Linked DNA regions of Notamacropus eugenii. Each later gene encodes a partner of the first gene's protein in a complex. Links are inferred from orthologs where the notes say so. Each region holds a gene or a part of one and is shown on either strand. Other genes may lie near its edges. The genes, in order: CPSF6 and NUDT21.

Region 1 (9,460 bases):
CCTCATCTGTAAAACGAGGATGTTGGACTCTGATCTCCAAAGTCTTTTCCAACTCCAAGTCTATGATCCTGTGACTCCGTACTTCACAATTGGACACATCGACCAGGGTTGATTTTTATACATATTTGAGGCAAAAGAAAAAAGAACTGAGTCAAGATGCTCAATTATAAAATTAAAAATAAATAAATATAAATCCTGGAATGGACTGAAACTGCTTTAGTAGCTAGGATTCTAATGCTGTTCTCTTCCCAAACCTAAACACAGTGCATGTGTATGGTGGAGGGGGGATGAAGGGGAGAGAAGAGGATGCAAGTAACATTGCAAAAAGAAAAGCCCAAATGACTGCCTTCAAAAGAGTAACTGTTCCCAATTTGATGGAATCTAGGAACCTCCAATTAAAGACATCAAGAATACCCCCACATAAAACAGCAGAGTCCCTTGTGCTTTTTTCCCTCCCTTATCTTTCCTCACCACTCTTAAATTCATCTGGTCAATGAAGGAATTCACTTATCCCACTCCCAAAGTGCATTATATTAATAAAAAATGGTCAAGCTTAACTTCTAATATATGCATGATTATTATTTTTAAATATATATAAAAGTTCATTTAAATTTTAACAAAACATAATTTACACAGCAAATACAGAATTACCTCTCTGTATATTCAAACATTATACACTTTAAAAGTACAGGATCATGATCAAAGGGGGGTAAAAACAGCAGAGGTCAGTAACATCCAGACTATAAAAATCAAAGTTATCATTTAATCAAACTACAAACAAAAGCAGCACCTTCTAACTTCATCAATTTGAATCTCTAAAATGACATTGGTAAAGCCATTTGAATGTAGGCTGTCTGGTAGATGTTGAAAAAGAAATTCTGAATCCAAAAAAAAAAGCTGACTGTAAAAGTAGTCAATGAAACCCAGGAAATTTCTCTCACCCAGGCTGCAGGAAGTTAATTGAACAGTACCAACTGGCATTACAAACAAAGGAAACATCCCTCCAGGATCAAGTCTGCAACAGCCCTGAAGTATTTCTGAGAAGTGAAGAAAACTGAAAAAAGACTTGGCCACTAAATGATGCCCCAAGTATGCCTGCTCTGTGGAGAGGGAGCTCAAAGCCAAGGACAGAAATTCCTGTAAGGAAAAGGGAATAAAGATTATATTCATCCTGGCCTCCAGTCCTAAAGCATACCCAGGACTCAGAAAATACATAACATTGACCTCTTTTCGGAAAAAAATGCTTGCTAGCAGCAACTGTGCATCTAAAATCCTTAAAAAAAATTAAAAAGCTTCGATATATTCTTTTTGCGTGGTACTTAAAAGATCCTGTATTCTTACTAATAGTTTAAAGACACAGCATAATCTTTAAGCAGAACGGGTTTAGTAATATAAACACTGCAAATATGCAAATAAAAAGAACCATAGATTCCCCCCCAAAATAGCTTTGGTATTCCGTTTTTACGTGGTACTCCAACGCTGCAGGCTTACCAAGTTTAAAGACACTTAAGTGGCATAACCATAAGTCCAATGAACTTTCAACAGAAACACTACAAACATTAAAGGGGCCTGACACAAAAAAGGCTGAGAACCCCTAAACTAGAGTATCCCCCTACAAAGTTAGCTATTCTATTTTCTACGGCACTCAAACATTATATCCTATTCATAGTTTAGAGACATTTAATTGGCATAACCTTTGAGGACAACTTGCCATATTAACATCAGACATACATTCCGTGTGCAGATAAAAAGGGGATCCAAAAAAGCTTTGGTGTCCTATTTTTTTGTGGTACTATAAAGCTGTATTCTCATTAACAGCTTAAAGACACTTAACTGGTATAAACACTGAAAATAATGGGCTTGAAATACAAACCACAAATATCTAAAATATTTTTCATCTTAAGACGCTTTGACCATTTACGGCTTAATATCTGAAACATTTTTTGAAGTGTATCATAGGAAAATGTGGTGATTTCGTCTTTCCTGGGAACCCTACCCCAAGGTACACAAAAAGAAAAGAAATCTTTAAGGAAAAACAATCTGATTTGTGTCAATTAACATATTCACCCAAATTTAAAAAAAAAATAATCAGCAAACTCAGACGTGGGGAAGTTTAAGAAGTTCCTTTCTCCCGGAGCCAGAAAAAAAATAAACCCATCAGGTATGACATTCCTGTGCAGTTTGGGATTATAACCACCACCATCAACAAAAACACGTTATATGGGGCAAAATACGTTATCCACCTTCTGGCTCCTTCCACGTTTCAACCAAAACCCCACCTTTTACAAGAAATCTTTAAAAAAAAAAAACAAAAAACCAAGCCCCCCTCACCCCCGCCTCCCCCAAACCCAATCCCCCACCCCTTTCCCCAACCAGGGCTACTGAACAAAACACATACATCTAATTCCTGGCTTCCAAGTTTCAACTAAAATCCCACTTTCCAGATGAAGGAAAAACCCACCACTATTGGGCAGAACCCATTTAATCCACCTCCTGGCTTCTTTCAAGTGCCAATTAAAATGCCATCTTCCACCAAAAAAACCTTTGAAAACGGCAAAGCCCCCATCCCCACCCCCCCACCCGGGCTTCTCCCACCTTCCACAGGCCCCCTCCAAGCCAGGCTCGAAGGCGGGAGCCCCAGGGGCAGGGGCTGGCTTCAGCCCCCGAGGGGGCAGGCCGCCCCCCGCCCCCTCCCCGCAGGCGCTCCCAGCCTAAGCGGAGGGAGGCCCCGGGCGGGCGCTGCCTTCCCGGGGGCACCCATCCTCCCGGCTCCGCGGCCCAACAGCAAGGGCAGACGTTTTGCAAAAAGAATGCCCGTCCCTCCGAATCCGAACCCCGGCTCTTCCGGAGGAGACTCGGGACGGGGGCGAGGGGGAGGGGGCTCCCCCGCCCCCCCACCGGCGCTAAGCCACAAAGCCCAGGGCCGGAGCAGGCGCCCAACAAATGAGAAAACAAAAAGGAGTATTTTTCAAATAAAAGCTCCCCGCGGCGGGGCTCCCGCACCGCCTGTCCTGCAGGGGGGCGCCCACCCGCCACTCAAACGCTGGAAGGACCGGGGTCCGGGGGGCGGGGATTGGCGACTACAAAGCCTCCCGGGCCAGCGGCGTCAATGGACGCGGTGCACGGAGGCCTCCGGAGGTCGGGGATGGACATTTTCACAGCGAATCGGGCGTATGGAGGGGCACATGGGCAGATGGGCAGAGGCCCTTGCTTCGCTCGGCCCGATTGGCGCGCCCGGTCCTTCAGGTGCGAAGGGGCCATTCCCGCCCGCAGGCCACCGCCTCTCCCCCCAGGCCAGGCCCCAGCGCGGCGGCGGCGGCCAGGCCTCGGGGCCTCGGGAGCGGCGCCGGCGAAGGGACCCGTGGCCCAGGCGGAAGGCGGGATCCGGGAAGAGCGGGGCGCGAGGGGGCACAAAGGGCCGCGAAACGGAGGCTTCCATGAGGCGAGGGGCGGGAGCGGAGCCCAGTGGGGCCCTCCGCAAGGCCGGGCCGGGCCGGGCCGGGCAGGAGGGCGGGCCCCGGCCGTCCTGCCCCTGCTGCCCCCGCCCCCCGGCGCACACGAGGCCCGGCCCCGCCGCTGCCGCCGCCGCCGCCGCTCCGGGCCTACGCCGAGGCGGGAAGCCCCGGGACCCGGGCGTCGCCCACAATGGGCAAGCGGGGAAGGAGGAGCCGGGGCCGAGCAAGCCTAGAGGGCGAAGCGAGTGGGGAGAGCGCAGGGGAGGGAGGCCCCGGAATCTGGCCGAGGTGCAGCCCCCGCAGCAAGCGGGCCCGGCCCGGCCCCGACCCCGCCGGCCAGCGCGCAGCCCGCTTCGGCCGCGCGGGGCCTCCGGGGGAAAAGGGGGTGGGCCGCACGTACCTGGTTGAACTCCTCGCCCACATCCGCGTAAATGTCTATGTGATCCACACCGTCCGCCATTTTCCTTCGGCTGCCGCTGCCGCCGCCGCCGCGGCCACCTACAGCAGCTCGGTCCGCAGCAGCAGCAGCAGCAGCGGATCTAGCGGAGGGGGGAGGGGGGACCCATTGCGTCACTTCCGAGGCGGGAGGCGGGAGGCGGGAGGCGGGAGGGGTGGGCGCTGTGGGCGGCGGGAGCCGCAGCTGCGGAGGCGCCCTGAGCGCGGGCCCGGGCTGCGGCTGCACGGAGCGGGAGCTGGCGCTGGAGGGACGGGGAGGGGGACACCATTTTTCTTTTTTTTCATTTCTCGCCTCCTCCCCCATGGGGCTGGAGCTTGTGGCTCTGCCGCCGGCCATGCAGCGTGGGGGTCTACGCGAAGGCCCGGTAAAGGAGGACGGCCCGACACGTGGCACAGCCTCGGCTTCCTAATTATTTGCAATTAGCAGATGAATGTTTCCGTTTCTCGTTGGGAGTCCCTTTCACTTCACACCCTCCCAGCCCCACCCCCGCCGCCGGTCCTGCGGCTCCGGCACCGGAGAGCGGTTCGAGCCCTGGCACGCGCTGCGTCCCTAAGGCTGGACCCCCCAGCCCCTTCCCCTGCTCCTGGTGCACACCGACCATCGGCTGTCACGTTTTCTCTAGGGGAAAAAACCCGTGTACGTGTTCATGTAAAGGTGTTTAAAAGAAAGAGAAAGTACTGCCCACATCTTCTAATTCTATAAAAACTGGGGCAGAGGAGGGACCTTCTTTATCTGCCTCCCGTTGTGTCCCTGGCAGGGCTGGTAGGGAACCTTGGAAGAGGGGGAAATCATCTAGGAATCCATGGGGATGGAAAAGAGATCCACGAAGGAGCTGCTATTGGTTATGGCGATAGGGCAGGGTGGAGAAAAGGAAGAAAGATGAAAGGCGGGGGAGATCTGGAGAGCAGGATCAGTGTGGCTTGGAAACGTGGGTTTATGGGAATCCTTTCCTGTTCTCATTTCCTAAAACAAGGCAGAAATTCATCAAGACTTCCTCCGAATTTTGTTGGGGAAAACCCTATGAATGTGTGTGACTGAAGACGGCTGGAGATCTACGGAATTCTAGGAAAGGTTATTATAGAGACATGTTCTCTCGTCAGTTACATGTCAGGGCGGGTTTTCCAAACTAAAGGGAGTTACAATGTATCCTCCTCCTCTGAGTCCTCCCTCCAGAGGGGATCTACTCAAGGCAAGAGCTGGTGTGTTTGATTTTGTATGTGTGCCATGGGCAGTTCAGACCGACCTTGATCTGAATTCATCAGGGGACCTACCCAGCTTCATAGCCACTTGGTCAGATCTCGTTCTTTCCAAGGCAGCGTGATTCCTTATGGGTACCAAGCCATCGGAGTCAGGCCTGCGTTCAAGTGTTGTTTCTGATACCTACTATGTATGTGGTCTTTTTTTTTACAAGTCATTTAATTGTCCCACGTACCCTCCCTTTGCTTCAGCTTCTCTAGGACCCAAGCAACTCTTTAAGGAGGCGTTGGTAGAAGGAGTTTGGTCAACAGGTGAGTGTTCGTCCTTCATTGGGGGAGAAGATGATGCCATCAGAGAAATAATGACATGACTTGCACTTGACTTTGTTTTGAGTACTTCCAACAGGAAGGAATTATTTGTCATAATGAAATAATTTGTCATGAAGAAAAAAGAAATACCTGCTAACCCTCCAAATTTATATGCTTTTGAGATGAGGCTCTGATTCTAAGTCATAGGGCATTACCAGAGACAGAGAGAGTATAAAACAAGGGGGTCGTAACTTTTTTTAGGACAGGGACTCCTTAGACCAAGGGTGAACTTTTGAGGACGCATGTGGCCCTCTAGGTGCTCAAGTGCAGCCCTTTGACCGAATCCAAACTTCACAGGACAAATCTACTTAATAAATAATCATGTTATTTATTATTTTATTAGTAGTAGTATCATTATAAATAATCTCCTTAATGAAAGGATTTGTTCTGTGAAGTTTGGATTCAGTGAAAGGGCCACCGTAGGCTGCAGGTTCCCCATTCCACCTTAGATTGTCTAGTAGAGTCTATCAACCCCTTCTCAAAAGATTGTTGTCTTACACCCATAACAGAAGAAAATGCTGAATTTCAATGAGAGGTTAATGAAAGTTAAAATATAATTTGTGTTTCCCATCCACATCACAAATGCCTTGAAATTGATCCACCAACTCCTTGACTGAGTGTGTGTGTATGTAGACAACAGACTAAGAATCCTCATGAACAGGGAGAAGAGATAGTCCTGGACAGAATTCTTGGATACATACTTGGATAGATACTTTAAAAAGATTTTTTTATCCTGAATTTAACAAACATAAAAAAAAAGAATATTTCCATATATAATCAACCAACAAGCATTTATTCTCAAGGAGTTCACATTGTAATGAAATAGGCAAAAGACACATTGCTATATACATACAAGATACAGACACTAAATGAGAGAGAATCCCAAGGAAAAGGCACTAGACCTAAGCAGGGGACCCAAAAAAGACCTCTTGAAGAAAGCAGAATTTGAGCTAAATTGAAGGAAGCAAGGGAAATGAAGAGACAGAGGATGAGGAGGAAGGCATGGGGAACTATAGCAAGAACAGCAAAAATGTCTGGATCACAGGGGACAGAGAGGGGAGTAAAGTATAAGACAGCTGGAGAGGTAGGAAGGGGCCAGGTTGTGAAAGGTTTTAAAAGCCAAACAGAAGATTTTTTTTTTATTTCACCCTGGAGATCATAGGGAGGTACTAGAGTTTTTTTAACTAGTTAAACTCTAGTTCCCTCTAGGGGAGAGAAGTGATGTGGTCAGACCTATACTTTAACATCAGTTTGACCACTAAGTAGAAAATGGGATGGTGCGGGGAGAGAGGAGGCAGGAAGACTAGCCAGAAGGCTATCGCAATAGCCAGAGCATAGTTGATAAAAAATTGTATAAATGAAGAGAAGTAGGCATATAGGAGAGATGTTCTGAAAGAGAACAAGACAAGACTTGGCAACAAATATGGAGTAGGTACAAGGGAGGATTTGAGGATGACACTAAAGTTGAAACCTTAGGTGACTGGGTGGAGGATGGTAAGTGTTCTTGAAAGTTGGGAAGAGGAGAGGGTTTTAGGGGAAATATGATGAGTTCAGTTTTGGATGTACTGAGTTGGACATATCTTTACAACATCAATGATGGGATGTCAGAAGCAATTAATAATTTGAGAGTGAAGGTTAGGGGAAAGGTTAGAGCTAAATATATAGAACTACAAATCAGTATAAAGATAATGATTGAACCCATGGGAGCTGATGAGATCAGCCAGGTCAATAGTACAGAGGGAGAAGAGGTCATCAGATAGAGCCTTGGGGAAGTGACACCCCATGATTAGTAGATGTCACCAGGATAAAGAACCAGAAAAGGATCCTGAGAAGCAACAATCCCCATCTCTCACCAGCTATGCTACTTTGGGATTTCATCATTAATTCATGCCCCAGGAAACTCATCTTTGGGAACTGTTGTTATCTTGCAGGACAGAATCAGCCATGGCATTCCCATCTCATCAGTACCCTTTGAATTTCTGATTGGGCCCTCAGACTGTAGGGTAGACCCATGAGCTCCAAAACTTCCATTTAAGGAAGGGGCTCAGTCTTTCCATTTTCTACCAGTTGAACTGCTCTTAGATTTCCTTATTATGCCCTTGAGCCAAGTGCTTTCCCCCACCTGACTGCTTTTCAAATTCTTTTTGTGTGTTACCTTCTTCCATTATATTTTAAGCTCCTGTTGGGCTGGAACTATCTTTTTATTTGTATCTCCAGCACTTAGCACAGTTTCTGACCCGTAAGAGGCCCTTAATAAATGTTTATTGACTTACCGGTAGAAGGAGAACCAAGAGACTGTGGTATCAAAATTTTCAGAAGAGGAAAAATTCAGATTAATAGTGTCATAGGCTGCAGAAAGGTCCCTGAGAAAAAAGCCATTAAATCTGGCAATTAAGAGGTCAAAGAGGAGTTTCAGTTGAATGATGAAGTTGGAAGCTAGACCATAGAGGGTTTAGAAGAGAAGGAGAAAAGAGAAAGTGGAGGTACCAGTTGTAGATAACTTTCTCAAGGTCATTAGCCAAAAGAAGAGAGGAGAGAGATAGAATGAGAGAGATAACAGATGTGGTAGGATAAAGTAGGATAAACCTTTGAGTTTCAAATTTTCTTCCTCCCTCTTTCTTCTCCTCTCTCCTTGAGAAGGCAAGAGATTTTGTTTTTCAGTGTTGCATTTGGAGTGTATTTGTTTTTTTAAATGGGGGAGACCAGAGCAAGTTTATAGGCAGCAAGGGAGCATTCAGTAGATATCAAGAGATTGAAGATTAGAGACCTGGCATTAGAGAAGAGGCTATCTACTGGTGAACACAGGAAGGGATGGAATCAGGGATGCACATAGAAGGACTTGTGCTGGTCAGGAATGGGCTACCTCTTCATGAAAAATAGGGATGAGGAGGATATAGTGGAGGCATATTTCTCAGTCATGTGAGGTGGGGTGGGGGAAAGAAGATGAAGCTCTCATCAAATGAAGGATGAATTGAGGTGCTCAGCTGAGAGGGTTAGGGAAACGGGGTCCATAGGAGATTTGAGGAGGGATGAGAAGGTTTAGGGCATGTAAAAAAATTGCCCTTAATATAATGAGGGTCCAGTTGAGATTATATAACATAAATCTGTGGTAGACTGAGTCACCATAATTTTCTATCTCTAACTCCATTCCATGAATAACCAGTGAAGGTGATGGAAGGTGGAAGTAATCCAAAATTAGGGTTTGATAAAGCATCATAAGTGACAGAACAAGGGGCCAAGGGATTTAAGTGCATAAAAAGAAGATCATATGGGAAATGACACAGTATTATACACAACTTAGTTTTTTTAATCATATAATTAATTCAACATATGACTTTCATTGCTTTTCTGCTTGTTGTCCTCTGACCTTCCTTCTATTCTGTGTTCTTAAACATGCTTTTTATCCTTTTTTTTAGCAACAGTATCACAAGTTTTCCCTTCTTTCCCAACCCTTTCTCCCCAAATGAAAAGGGAAAAACACAATTCTTACAGTAAATAAGTACAGTCAAGGAAAACAAATCCACATATAAGTCCAAAAATATATGGTTCATTTTGTACTTTGGATCCATCATTGGTCCTCTAGAGGCATAGTTGGTCACTGCATTATCAGAGACTTTAAGTCTTTCCAAGTTGTTTTTCTTTACAGGGTTGTTTGTTGTATAAATTGTTCTGTTTCTGCCTACTTCACCTTGCCATCAATTCATACATGTCTTTCAAGTTTTACAATTTTATACACACACACACACACATCTTGGATATTGGACAGAGAAACTTGATGTAAAGATTTTTTTTTACTAGAAAACTATTACTTTTCTCAATTTAACTGCACAGATTTAGTCATAGATTTTTAGCAAAAACTTTTCCAATTATATGTAATAAAGAGTCTGTTGTATCTTTTATGATCCTCTCTTGCCTGATCATAAATTTTTTCCCCTATCTATAACTGTTAAAGGACATAGGCTTTTTAATTTTTAAAAATATAT
Region 2 (9,830 bases), on another chromosome or scaffold:
ATATTTCATAAGTCCTAAAGCTACTAGACCCTTTAGATGAGCAACAGATCCAAAACCTTAAATGTGAATTCCCTTAATATTTGGCCCTACCATTCACTGGCAAGACCAATTTCATTAACTTATTTCACAGAAAGGCTTCATTTACTAAATCTGCATCTATGCCATTGGAAAGCTTTTACTTTAGCAAAGTCTCTTCTTGCAACACTTTTCAATTCTTAACTGTTTCATACAATCTACCTAGAAAAATTCCAAGATCAGTAGTTGGCTGGATAAACTTCACAAAATAAATCCACTTTAAAAAAGGATCTGTTCTGTAAAACTTAGATTTAATAAAAAGGCTGCACCCAAGAACCTACAAGGCCACATATGGCCTCAAGGCTGAAGGTTCCCTACCCCTGCTCTATATAATGCTGATATTTCTAAAAGGACACTAAACAAATGCACAGCACTGCAAATGAGCTACAGTTAATTCAGTTCTAGAGTTCAGGGATTAGAAACAAGGGCTCTAGTTCCCTGCTGCTGTGCATTAGGGACACTTCATTTACCTTAAGGCAGAGATGTGAAGCTCGTCTCTATTCTTCAGATCATCCGACTTGTGATAATGGAAAAAAAAACTCTCAGACATTAGATATACAGGCAAATCATTGTGTTCTTACAAGAACTTTTGTGACGTAATTGAAAAAAGAGAAAATAACGGGTTGCCTGAGCTCAGTACCTGTCTCCTCTGACTCTGAACATAAAATCAATACTACCTAGCTTACTACCTAAGTGTTCTGCTTTTGTAGGTCTGTCTTATGTTAACATCAACATTACAAGTCCTGTGAAGGCAGGGATTATTCCTTATCTTTTCCTTGTATCCTTAATAGTGCTGGGAAACATGTAAGATATCTGGAAAGGTAGCTATGGTAACAACATGGATCTCAGAGTAAGGCAGATTCAGTTTATTTATTATTTTGGCAACCTAATTTTCCTCTTTTTTAAACCAAGGTATCATAAAGATGTAATTAGCTATCTGACTAGCAAAGAAGGTAAGCAAGTCATGTGGCAAGATTGACAAATAATTGTGTATTCAGTTGATATTTACACAAGAGGAGGGTTTTAAGCAGGTTGGGTCTACACCTTTGTGTAAGATTTATATGACATGGATAGGAATGGCAGAAGAATAAGAAGGCGCAGATGAGTTGTGATCTGCACCTCTGGAGGGAATAGCTACGTTAAAGAAACCAAAGATGCACTGTAACACTGAAGAAGCTATTGATTTATTGTTCTCTTAATATTGTAAAAAAACCCAAAAAACCCAACACCCCATAAAAAAGCTAGTTTAAAAAAAATCACTCCTATTATCTTTATTCCCTCATTTTTTTCTATTTTCCTGCTAATGACCAAGATTCCTTTTTAAAGGGTTGTTAGTTTGCTGAATCTGTTTTCTCTAACTGCATACGTAGTTGATTAAAAATATCTCTTCTTAATTCATCAGTGTTTTCAGAGATCTAATTTTTCCTCTGAGTACTACTTTTATTGGATTTCATATATTCTGACATATTGTCTTATTATTAGGATCATTCTTTTAACCTGCCTGTGATTCAGAATGCTACTACTTAGTCTCCATTTAGGTCTATACATTTTGCTTATGTTTCCTCTATGAATAGTAGTTTTCATTATTTAACAATCTATAAAGAAAATATTTACCATTTTTATGTCCTAAAACATGATCAATATTTGTAAAGCTATTACTGATGCTCTGAAATAGGTATATGCTTAAATATTCCCAATGAGAAGCTGTCATAGGTGTTTCAAATCTAATTGTTCCAATAATTTGTTCAGTCTTTTATCTTCTTTGATTCTCATCTTTCTGCTAGATTTACAGAACTCTAAAAAATATTAGTTTCCTACAATTATTATGTTATTACCAATATCTTCATAATTCTGTTAGCTTTTAAGAACTTATTAATGGCAATACACATATAATTAATATTGCCTTACTGCATATGATATCTTTAAACAACAGAATTGACACTAAATTTTTATTACTACCTTGTTTAAAAATCATGGTTCCAACCCGTTTTTCTAGAATCAAATAAAGGAAAACAAATTTTGCCCCAATCTTTCCTTTTCACTTGGTATCCCTTTGTTTTGAAATACCTTTTCTGAATACGGTAAATTGCTGAGTTTTTTCTTATCCATCTTTCCATTCTCTTTCCTAGGGAATTAATCTATACACTTTCAAGATTATAACTGTCAAGTTTGTGTTTTCCTCTATGGGAATTGTTTTCTTCTCTTTTCAGTCAGTACTTAGTCCTTGCGACTTCTTTTGCTTAGATTAATTTGATTCCAGTTATTTCCCACCAATTCTCCATTCTGCCCTACTTCCTCATGCTCAGGTCAATTGTGTGTCAGTTTATGATTCTGTCCTTCCATTTCTCAGCCTAGATAAGAGGTATGGTACAGAATCTGCCATGGTCCTCTCCCCAAACCATTCTCTTAGTTTCAGCAATGTACATTTGCCCATTCCATTTTTATAAAGAGCTAAGTTGAAGAGGAATGATAAGTGAAGTTGTCAGAATAGTACTATCAGCATTTACATATAGCAGTTTAGATTTACAAAGCACTTTACAAAAATTATTTTATTTTATCTTCACCACAGCCCTGGGAGGAAGGTGCTATTGCCTCCATTTTACAAGTGAGGAAACTTGAGGCAGAGGTTAAGTGATTTGCCCAAGATTGCACCACTAGTATCTAAGGGAGGGTTTGAACTCAGGCCTCCCTAACTCCAGGTCCAGTGTTCTACTCACTGTGCCACCAAACTACTTATATGTATGTTGCTCACATACTTATATACATAAGAATTATACACATATGTACACCTATAACAGCATATTTAAGTCACTTGAACCTCAAAACAACTGTATGAAACGGCTATTGCAAGTATTGTTACTACTAATTTATAGAGGAGGAAACCAGTTTGGGGAGGGTAAGTAATTCACCCCTAAGTCAGATGGCTATAAAGTACCACAGCTAAGATTCAAACCTATGTTGATTAATTCTAAGTTTTTCTAATCTATGATACTGCCTTATGAAGACAGGTATCAGAAAGATAAAAGTGAGAAAAAGATGTATATTTCTTTTGCTACAATTGTGCCGAAAGTATTAAGCAGTAAAATAAAAATAAGGCAACCATAGTAACCTAACTGGGATTGGTTGAACCTTGTATTAAATGACCTTTGAGGGAGCATATTTAAGTGGCATAAATAGTTTGTGAATACACACCTGTTTGAATTTGTACAAGTCATTGCATTTCTCATGAAAATCCAAATCCAAAAGTTCCTTTTGAAGTCCTTCCAAGAAAGTCTGGCACTGGATGAAGTCTGGGATCACACAGTGATGGAAAGGATCTGGGTCTATGACTATGGCATCTTTCATAAAAGAAAACAGTGTTAATATTTTGCTGGGGAGGTCTGAGGGATTTAAGGGGAAGGGATGAATAGGAAATAAAACTTCATGGTCTAAAATACAGAAGAAGAATTGGTGGTCTTCCACTTTCTATTTACTTTTACCCTATATTTTGTGTTCTAGTTCACCTCCCACTTATTTCCCAAAGTTCTACCCAGTTTATGCATAGTTCTTCCATAACTCTTATTGTACATTTATTTATCCAGCCCACACCTCTCTTTTGACATCCAGTCTTGTATCTCCAACCACTTACTGGACATCACAAACTGGATATCCTGGGGACATCTTTAAACCAATTATATCTAAAACTGAAGTTATTATCTTTTCTTTCCAAACCCTTCCCTCTTCCTTTCAAGGGCACCACCATCCTCCCAGTTACCGAGGCTCACAACTTAGGTGTCATCCAAGACTCCTACCTTTCAATCCTCACAACCAATATTTCACAACATTACTAAGATATATTCACTCCCCTTTTCCTTTCCAACACTTTGTGCAAGCCTCATGCCTAGACTCTGAAGAGCCTGCTCGTTGGCCTCCCTGACTCCTCTCTCCCTCTTTGCAATCTATCCTCCACCCAAATGTCAGTGATCTTTCTAAAGTGCAGGACTGATCACATCACCCTCTCACTCTTTACTGAAGCCCAGTGGTTCCCTAGTACTTCCACGATTAAACATAATATCCTCTGGCTTTTGAAACCTTTCATAACCTGGCCTACTCCTACCTTTCCAGTCTTTTCACATTTTATACAGTCCGATTCAACTCCTAGCAGGTAACATTCCATCTCTTCATTCTATGCTCTGCCTCCTTACTTCCTTCAACTCTCACCTAAAATCTTACCTCCTACAGGTCCTGCTTACGGTAGTCCACCTTCCCTCTGAAAGGACTCCCTCCAATTAACCTGTAATATATCTTGATCGGACATAGCTGTTTGCATGTTGTCTTTCCCATTACATTGTGAGTTCCTTGAAGGCTGAGACTGTTTTTTGATTTTCTTTGAATCTCCAATGCTTAGCCCAAAACCTGGCTAAGGTGCTTAAGAGGTGCTAGTCCAGTTGGGTGGACAAGTATTGACTACTGGAGTTTGTACTTTTATTCATACAACCAATATCTATTAAGCACCTATTATATACAAAGTACTCAAACATTTTAATGATTTTTTTCTTTTCTCCAACCAGACTGTAAATTCCCTGAGGACAGACACTTTAACAATTTCTAATGAATGTCCCACAGGTCTTCGCAACATCATTAACGAGTAAAATACCCTGGCTCCTTTCTTTAGATCCGCAGGCCCATTACTGGGCACAACAAGGAGTCTTTGCAGGTTGGCAGGATCATCAGATTAAACTCCCCTGGCATAAAACTGGAGAACTCAAGGTCACCGGCGGGCAAGGATCAATCACCTGAGTGAGGAGGTTTGAGTTATTACCAATAACTGGGAGAATCAAGGACGGGTTCAAGGAAGAGGAGAAAACGCTGGAGTTACAAAGACCCAGCTTGTTCCCTCAAGGAAACTACAGTTCACAATTCTGAACTAGGCTTGGCTACAGAAAACACCTTTCCGCAGGATCACCTTCCCTTCCAGTCTTTCGGCCAGGACCCTTCCTGGCCCCGCCCCTCTGGGCTCTGGCCCCGCCCCTCTGGGCTCTGGCCCCGCCCCTCTGGGCTCTGCCCCCGCATGCTTGCAGCCCCCTCCTCACCCTTCTCCCACCCCACCCCCCACCCTCCCAAACCAGAGCAGCAACTCCATGCGACCGCCGCTCGCCCGCGGTTACCGTGACTGAATCTCGTCCTTCGGCTCCAGGCCTCAGCCACCTGGTTTTTCAGCAATTCTTCACGGATAGCGGCCGAGAACTCCCCTGTCAACTCCCGCTTCCCCTTCTTCTTTCCCTCTGAGACACGTCCCGGAGCCGCGCGCCGTTTCCCGCTCATACCTTCGGATCGCTTTGCCTCCCAAACCAGAACACTGCTACGAGTCGCGCGCCATGCGGCAAATGCGTCGCACCCACCGATACTACAACTCCTAGAATTCCCCCACTACCCACGAGACGCCCAATGGAAAGAAGAAAGCCGGGAAGAGGCGGCGCCTAACTTGTCTTTGCCAATGGGTGCCTCCGGTGGCGCAACGTCCTTGCTGTGATTGGCCACGCGCCGCTCTGGAGAAGGAGACTAGTTCCCTTCTGTGATTCGAGGCAATAGCCCGACGCTGAGGAAGGATAGGTCAGAAAGCACTTCCGGTGAGCGTCCGCCTCCTTCTCTGGCGCCTCCATGTTAATGGCGGTAGCGGTTGCCGAAGTGGGACTCTAATCCGGCCTCAAAGGGGAAGCAGCTTTTTCTTTCGGCTTCCGTCTGCCCCTGCCAGCCCTCGCGCCCACGCCCTCAGTCGCCAGCATGTCTGTCGTGCCACCCAACCGTTCGCAGACGGGCTGGCCCCGGGGTGTAAACCAGTTTGGGAACAAATACATCCAGCAGACCAAGCCTCTCACCCTGGAGCGCACCATCAACCTGTGAGTGACTCCCCCCCTTCCTCCCGATCCTCGGGCCGCGACGTGCCCCTGCTTTCCCGCCGCCCCAACTCCCTCCACGCCACGAGCGCATCCCGGCCGCCGCCTCGATGTTTCCCTCCCTCCCTCCCCCAGAGCGCGTCCCCCACTCCTTTTCCTGAGGCGCGCGCCGTTGGCCCCCCGCGAGTCCCGGGCACCCGTGGGCTTGGCGCGCTTCCACTTCTCCTTGGCGCGCTAGGCTTCTCACTCTACATGTGGGCGTGCCCCTGGCCACCCCCCTGGCCCTGAACCCCCCAAGCAAAGCGTCACGGTTCTAAAGGACTTGAGAATACATACACTACCGTTCCTTAAATCTCCAGTGCAGGAGATGGAAGACGTTTTCCGTCTGTCAGTAAGCTGTACGCCAGGCACGGACCTGGGCCCAGGCGACAGGCCCTGCTCTGGAGAAGTTCACCCTGTAACGAGGGAGACCGTGTGCTAACAAATTTCCATAAGCAAGCCATATACTGGAGAAGTAGGAAGCCGTAGGGAAGGCATCGGCTAATGCTGGGGATTCTGGAAAAGCTTCCTTTAGAAGGTGGGATTTTAGCTGGGACTTGAACCAGCAAAGCCAGGCGCCGGGGGTGAGGAGGGAGAGCATTGCCTGCAAGGAGACAGCCAGAGAAAATTCGCAGGGTTGGGAGATGGCGTGTCGTGTGTGTGAGGAGTGATTGGGAACCATTGTCACCGGATCGAAGAGTAAGGAGGCCGTGGTGTAAGGTGTAATAAGGCAGAAAGCAGGGCAGGATGCTCACACCGGGAGTAAATGACAGACCTGGGAATCTTAGACTAGAGGGCCAGGAAGTCACCTGCTTTGTGCCAGGCAAAGTGTAAAGCACAAAGAGAGGCAGAAGATTTTTCATGTCTACAGATGGTGCTAAACACCATTCTCCAAGAGCTCACAGTCTAATGGAGGAGATGACACTCAAAACAGCTATGCACAAACCAAGTGTATACATGATAAATTGGAGATAAGTAAAACATCTAGTATAAAATGAGGTTCAGAAGGGGGATGACTTTTTCCATTAAAAAAAACTGTAAAAATAAAGCTTCCCTTTCTTTGGACACCTAGTTGATAGAGGCACTAATAGTAGTCTCCTTCTGGCAGCCAACTCCATTATATACCAAACTTCCCATATATTGTGGGTTCTTTCAGTGGTCCCTGCTTAGACATGTGGTTGGATTGGCAAGTGGGAGGAAGCTTGAGGTCTGTCTTGCTTTTCCTTTCTAGGATATTGCTTCTCTTTTCCACTAGGCCAACATCCTAGCACGTTGTACTGCATGTGGTTGCTGTGTGGTACTGCATTGTTGCTATGGAAACACAGCATTCTTTTCTAAGAGATAGAAAAGCATGTATAATGCATTCTCCACAATGAATATGCCTTAAGGTTTTTGCTTAAACTTTAAAGTTACAGTTTTTGAAATGCAGATTCTATCAGGCAGATAATTCACATTGGGAATCTCATACCAACAAACGGGCAGCAGACCTTTTTACCAATCATTGAGTGTGTATATCATTCTGTGGGAATTACTCTTCATGTTGTCATTTACTGAATGTTACAAAGTTGACATAAATGTAGGCATTCGTTTCTGATGGAAAAAGTAGGGTCTCAAATTTGCATTTGGTTAAGAAATAAAGGAAAGGTAATCATGCAAAGAACTTAAAGGTTAAAGATACGAGTCTTTGGTATCTGAAAATAAAATGTAGTCTGCTGATTTTTATCTCAGCAATTTGAAAATAATACCTAGAACTATGTCAGACCACCAAACTTGAAAGCATTCAAATTGAGCTGTTTATTAATCCTTTAATTTGTGGGTGTATGGTCAATTAATTTTTACTAATAACCTTCCAACTATGATGCTATGAAAATAGACTTGTGGGCTGTCCTGGAAACAACCAACATTTATATTAAAAATGCATTCTGAGTTCTAAAAATTAAAAATCTTGGAACACAGTTTGTTGGAAAGTTGGGCACTGACTAAATTCAGAAACATTTATTGCTTAGTAGACCCAAGTTTTCATTGTTCTAGGTGGGCAAGAAATATGCTAAACTGAAGATAAGCTTCATCCTTTGTTTCCTTTCAAAGTAATTTTTGTTGTTGAATTTCAACAACAGTAGTTGTGTCCTACTCTTTGTGACCCCATTTGAGGTTTTCTTGGTAAAGGTACTGTAGTGGTTTGCCATTTCCTTTTCCAGCCTATTTTACTGGTGAAGAAACTGAGGCTTGCCCAGGGTCACACAGCTTAGTAAGATGAATCTTAAGGCATGGTATTCTAATCCATTGCTCTACCTAGTTGTCCCTCAAAAGAATGTAGGTAAAAATAACACTTAAAGTTTTTTAAGAATAGTTTTCATAACTGCTCTGTCTTTTGATTTTTAATTTTTCACATTGACAACCTCATGGAGGAGTAGGGACTACATCTTGCAGTGTAGCTATGTCATGTCTAAAGATGGTGTTAAGCCCTCCAGCCAAATAACATGCGCTAGTGAATTTTGCTCTATTTTTCCCTGTCATTTAAGGGTTAATTTGAAGTGAGAAAGTGCCTATGATCTAATTTAGAAATATCAAGGTGTTTGGTTTCATACTTCTGTTTGTTCTTTTTTGGCATTAGGGTTATGGATTAGGGAAACAGTGTATTACCTGCTACTGTTAGAATGTTTTAGTAAATTTAAGAGAATGTATATGGTAAAAACATTCACCCCAAAGTATATGGAACACTTGGACTGAGGAGGAGCCACTTGCAGATAGAGAGGATAAAATAAACTGTAAGATTCTAAATTTTTTAAATTTTCCCACACAATTCTGAAGTTTGCCTGAACATCTGCTGTTTAACATGGGCAAAGGACCCATCTGTAATTTGGCAGAAGGATTTGGGCCTCTCTCTTGCCCGGGAGCCTTGAAAAATTGACTTGCCCTAGATCACTGTGTCAGAAGAATGACTTGAACCCAAATCTTCCTGACTTTTGCCTACTTTACATCCTGTAAGTTGCTAGGTGATGCAGTGGATAGAGGACTGCACCTGGAATTAGAAAGGCCTGAACTCAAATCTAGTCTCAGACACTAGTCATGTGACTCAGGACAAATTACTTAACTAATCATTTCTAGTTTCCTTATTTGTAAAATTGGGCTTATGATAGCACCTATCTCCCTGACCTATAAAGTTGAAATGAGTTAACGCTTCATAAACCTTAAAGCCTGTATAAATGACAGCTAACATTGTTGTTACTATTATTACCACTTCTTTTAAGATGCTAATTTGTATTGTGAATCATCCCTCTGGAAGATGTCCCTTTGGACCACTGGGTATTTCCTTACTTCTTTGAATGGGTTTATAATTTGGGACAAAAGGGCTGAAAAATCAAAATGGCCTTTAAACCAGAAAGTGGAGAGAGAATTTAGGATGAATTGATTCAAAAATAGAATGGTCTGAGAGCTATCCTTTCAGAAAAGTCTTAATAAAAAGTATTAACAAAGATGGAGCACAGTAAGAGTACCCCTGGAGGAATGGATCTACTGATGGAGTGAACCTTCAGGGTTTAGGGATATGGTACTTAAGGAGAGGAAGGGGAGGAGACTACAGAGGGATATCAACCCAGTTTGTGAGGAAGTTGGCTGTTGATTTCAACCTGAAGCTACAGTGGAGCAGACCTAAGAAAAAGATGTTCAGTATTTAAAGGGCTGAAAGAGTACCTCCCAGGTAGGAGGAGGGTTGAAAAAGAAGAGAAATATCAGCAGTTACCAGGGTCTGAACAAGGGAAGTAAGGACAGAAAGTGACACACTAAGGTTTGCCTGGTAAGTAAATTGTACTCTGAAATCACTCTGGTTAGTCGTTTGTA

The links.
Region 2: the proteins of CPSF6 (region 1) and NUDT21 are in contact, whole or in part, in a crystal structure (PDB 3P5T), measured with the Homo sapiens proteins. The link is inferred for Notamacropus eugenii from reciprocal best matches to the Homo sapiens genes CPSF6 and NUDT21. Residues at the interface, in NP_008938.2 of Homo sapiens: Trp90, Trp91, Thr92, Thr93, Asp94, Glu95, Lys113, Phe114, Glu116, Asn117, Arg118, Ala119, Asn120, Gly121, Gln122, Ser123; in NP_008937.1 of Homo sapiens: Pro151, Asn152, Glu154, Pro156, Tyr158, Tyr160, Pro162, Ala163, His164, Ile165, Thr166, Lys167.

Annotation. Positions count from the first base shown.
Region 1 is NC_092874.1:246,468,422-246,477,881, reverse strand, and holds the start of CPSF6 (cleavage and polyadenylation specificity factor subunit 6), read right to left. Parts: upstream 4,028-9,460; 5' UTR 3,916-4,027; coding exon 3,856-3,915; intron 1-3,855. UniProt on the Homo sapiens protein: Component of the cleavage factor Im (CFIm) complex that functions as an activator of the pre-mRNA 3'-end cleavage and polyadenylation processing required for the maturation of pre-mRNA into functional mRNAs.
Region 2 is NC_092872.1:473,942,101-473,951,930, reverse strand, and holds the start of NUDT21 (cleavage and polyadenylation specificity factor subunit 5), read left to right. Parts: upstream 1-5,592; 5' UTR 5,593-5,838; coding exon 5,839-5,954; intron 5,955-9,830. Other genes in the region: prolyl 3-hydroxylase OGFOD1, read right to left, coding at 546-592, 3,268-3,413, 5,223-5,379. UniProt on the Homo sapiens protein: Component of the cleavage factor Im (CFIm) complex that functions as an activator of the pre-mRNA 3'-end cleavage and polyadenylation processing required for the maturation of pre-mRNA into functional mRNAs.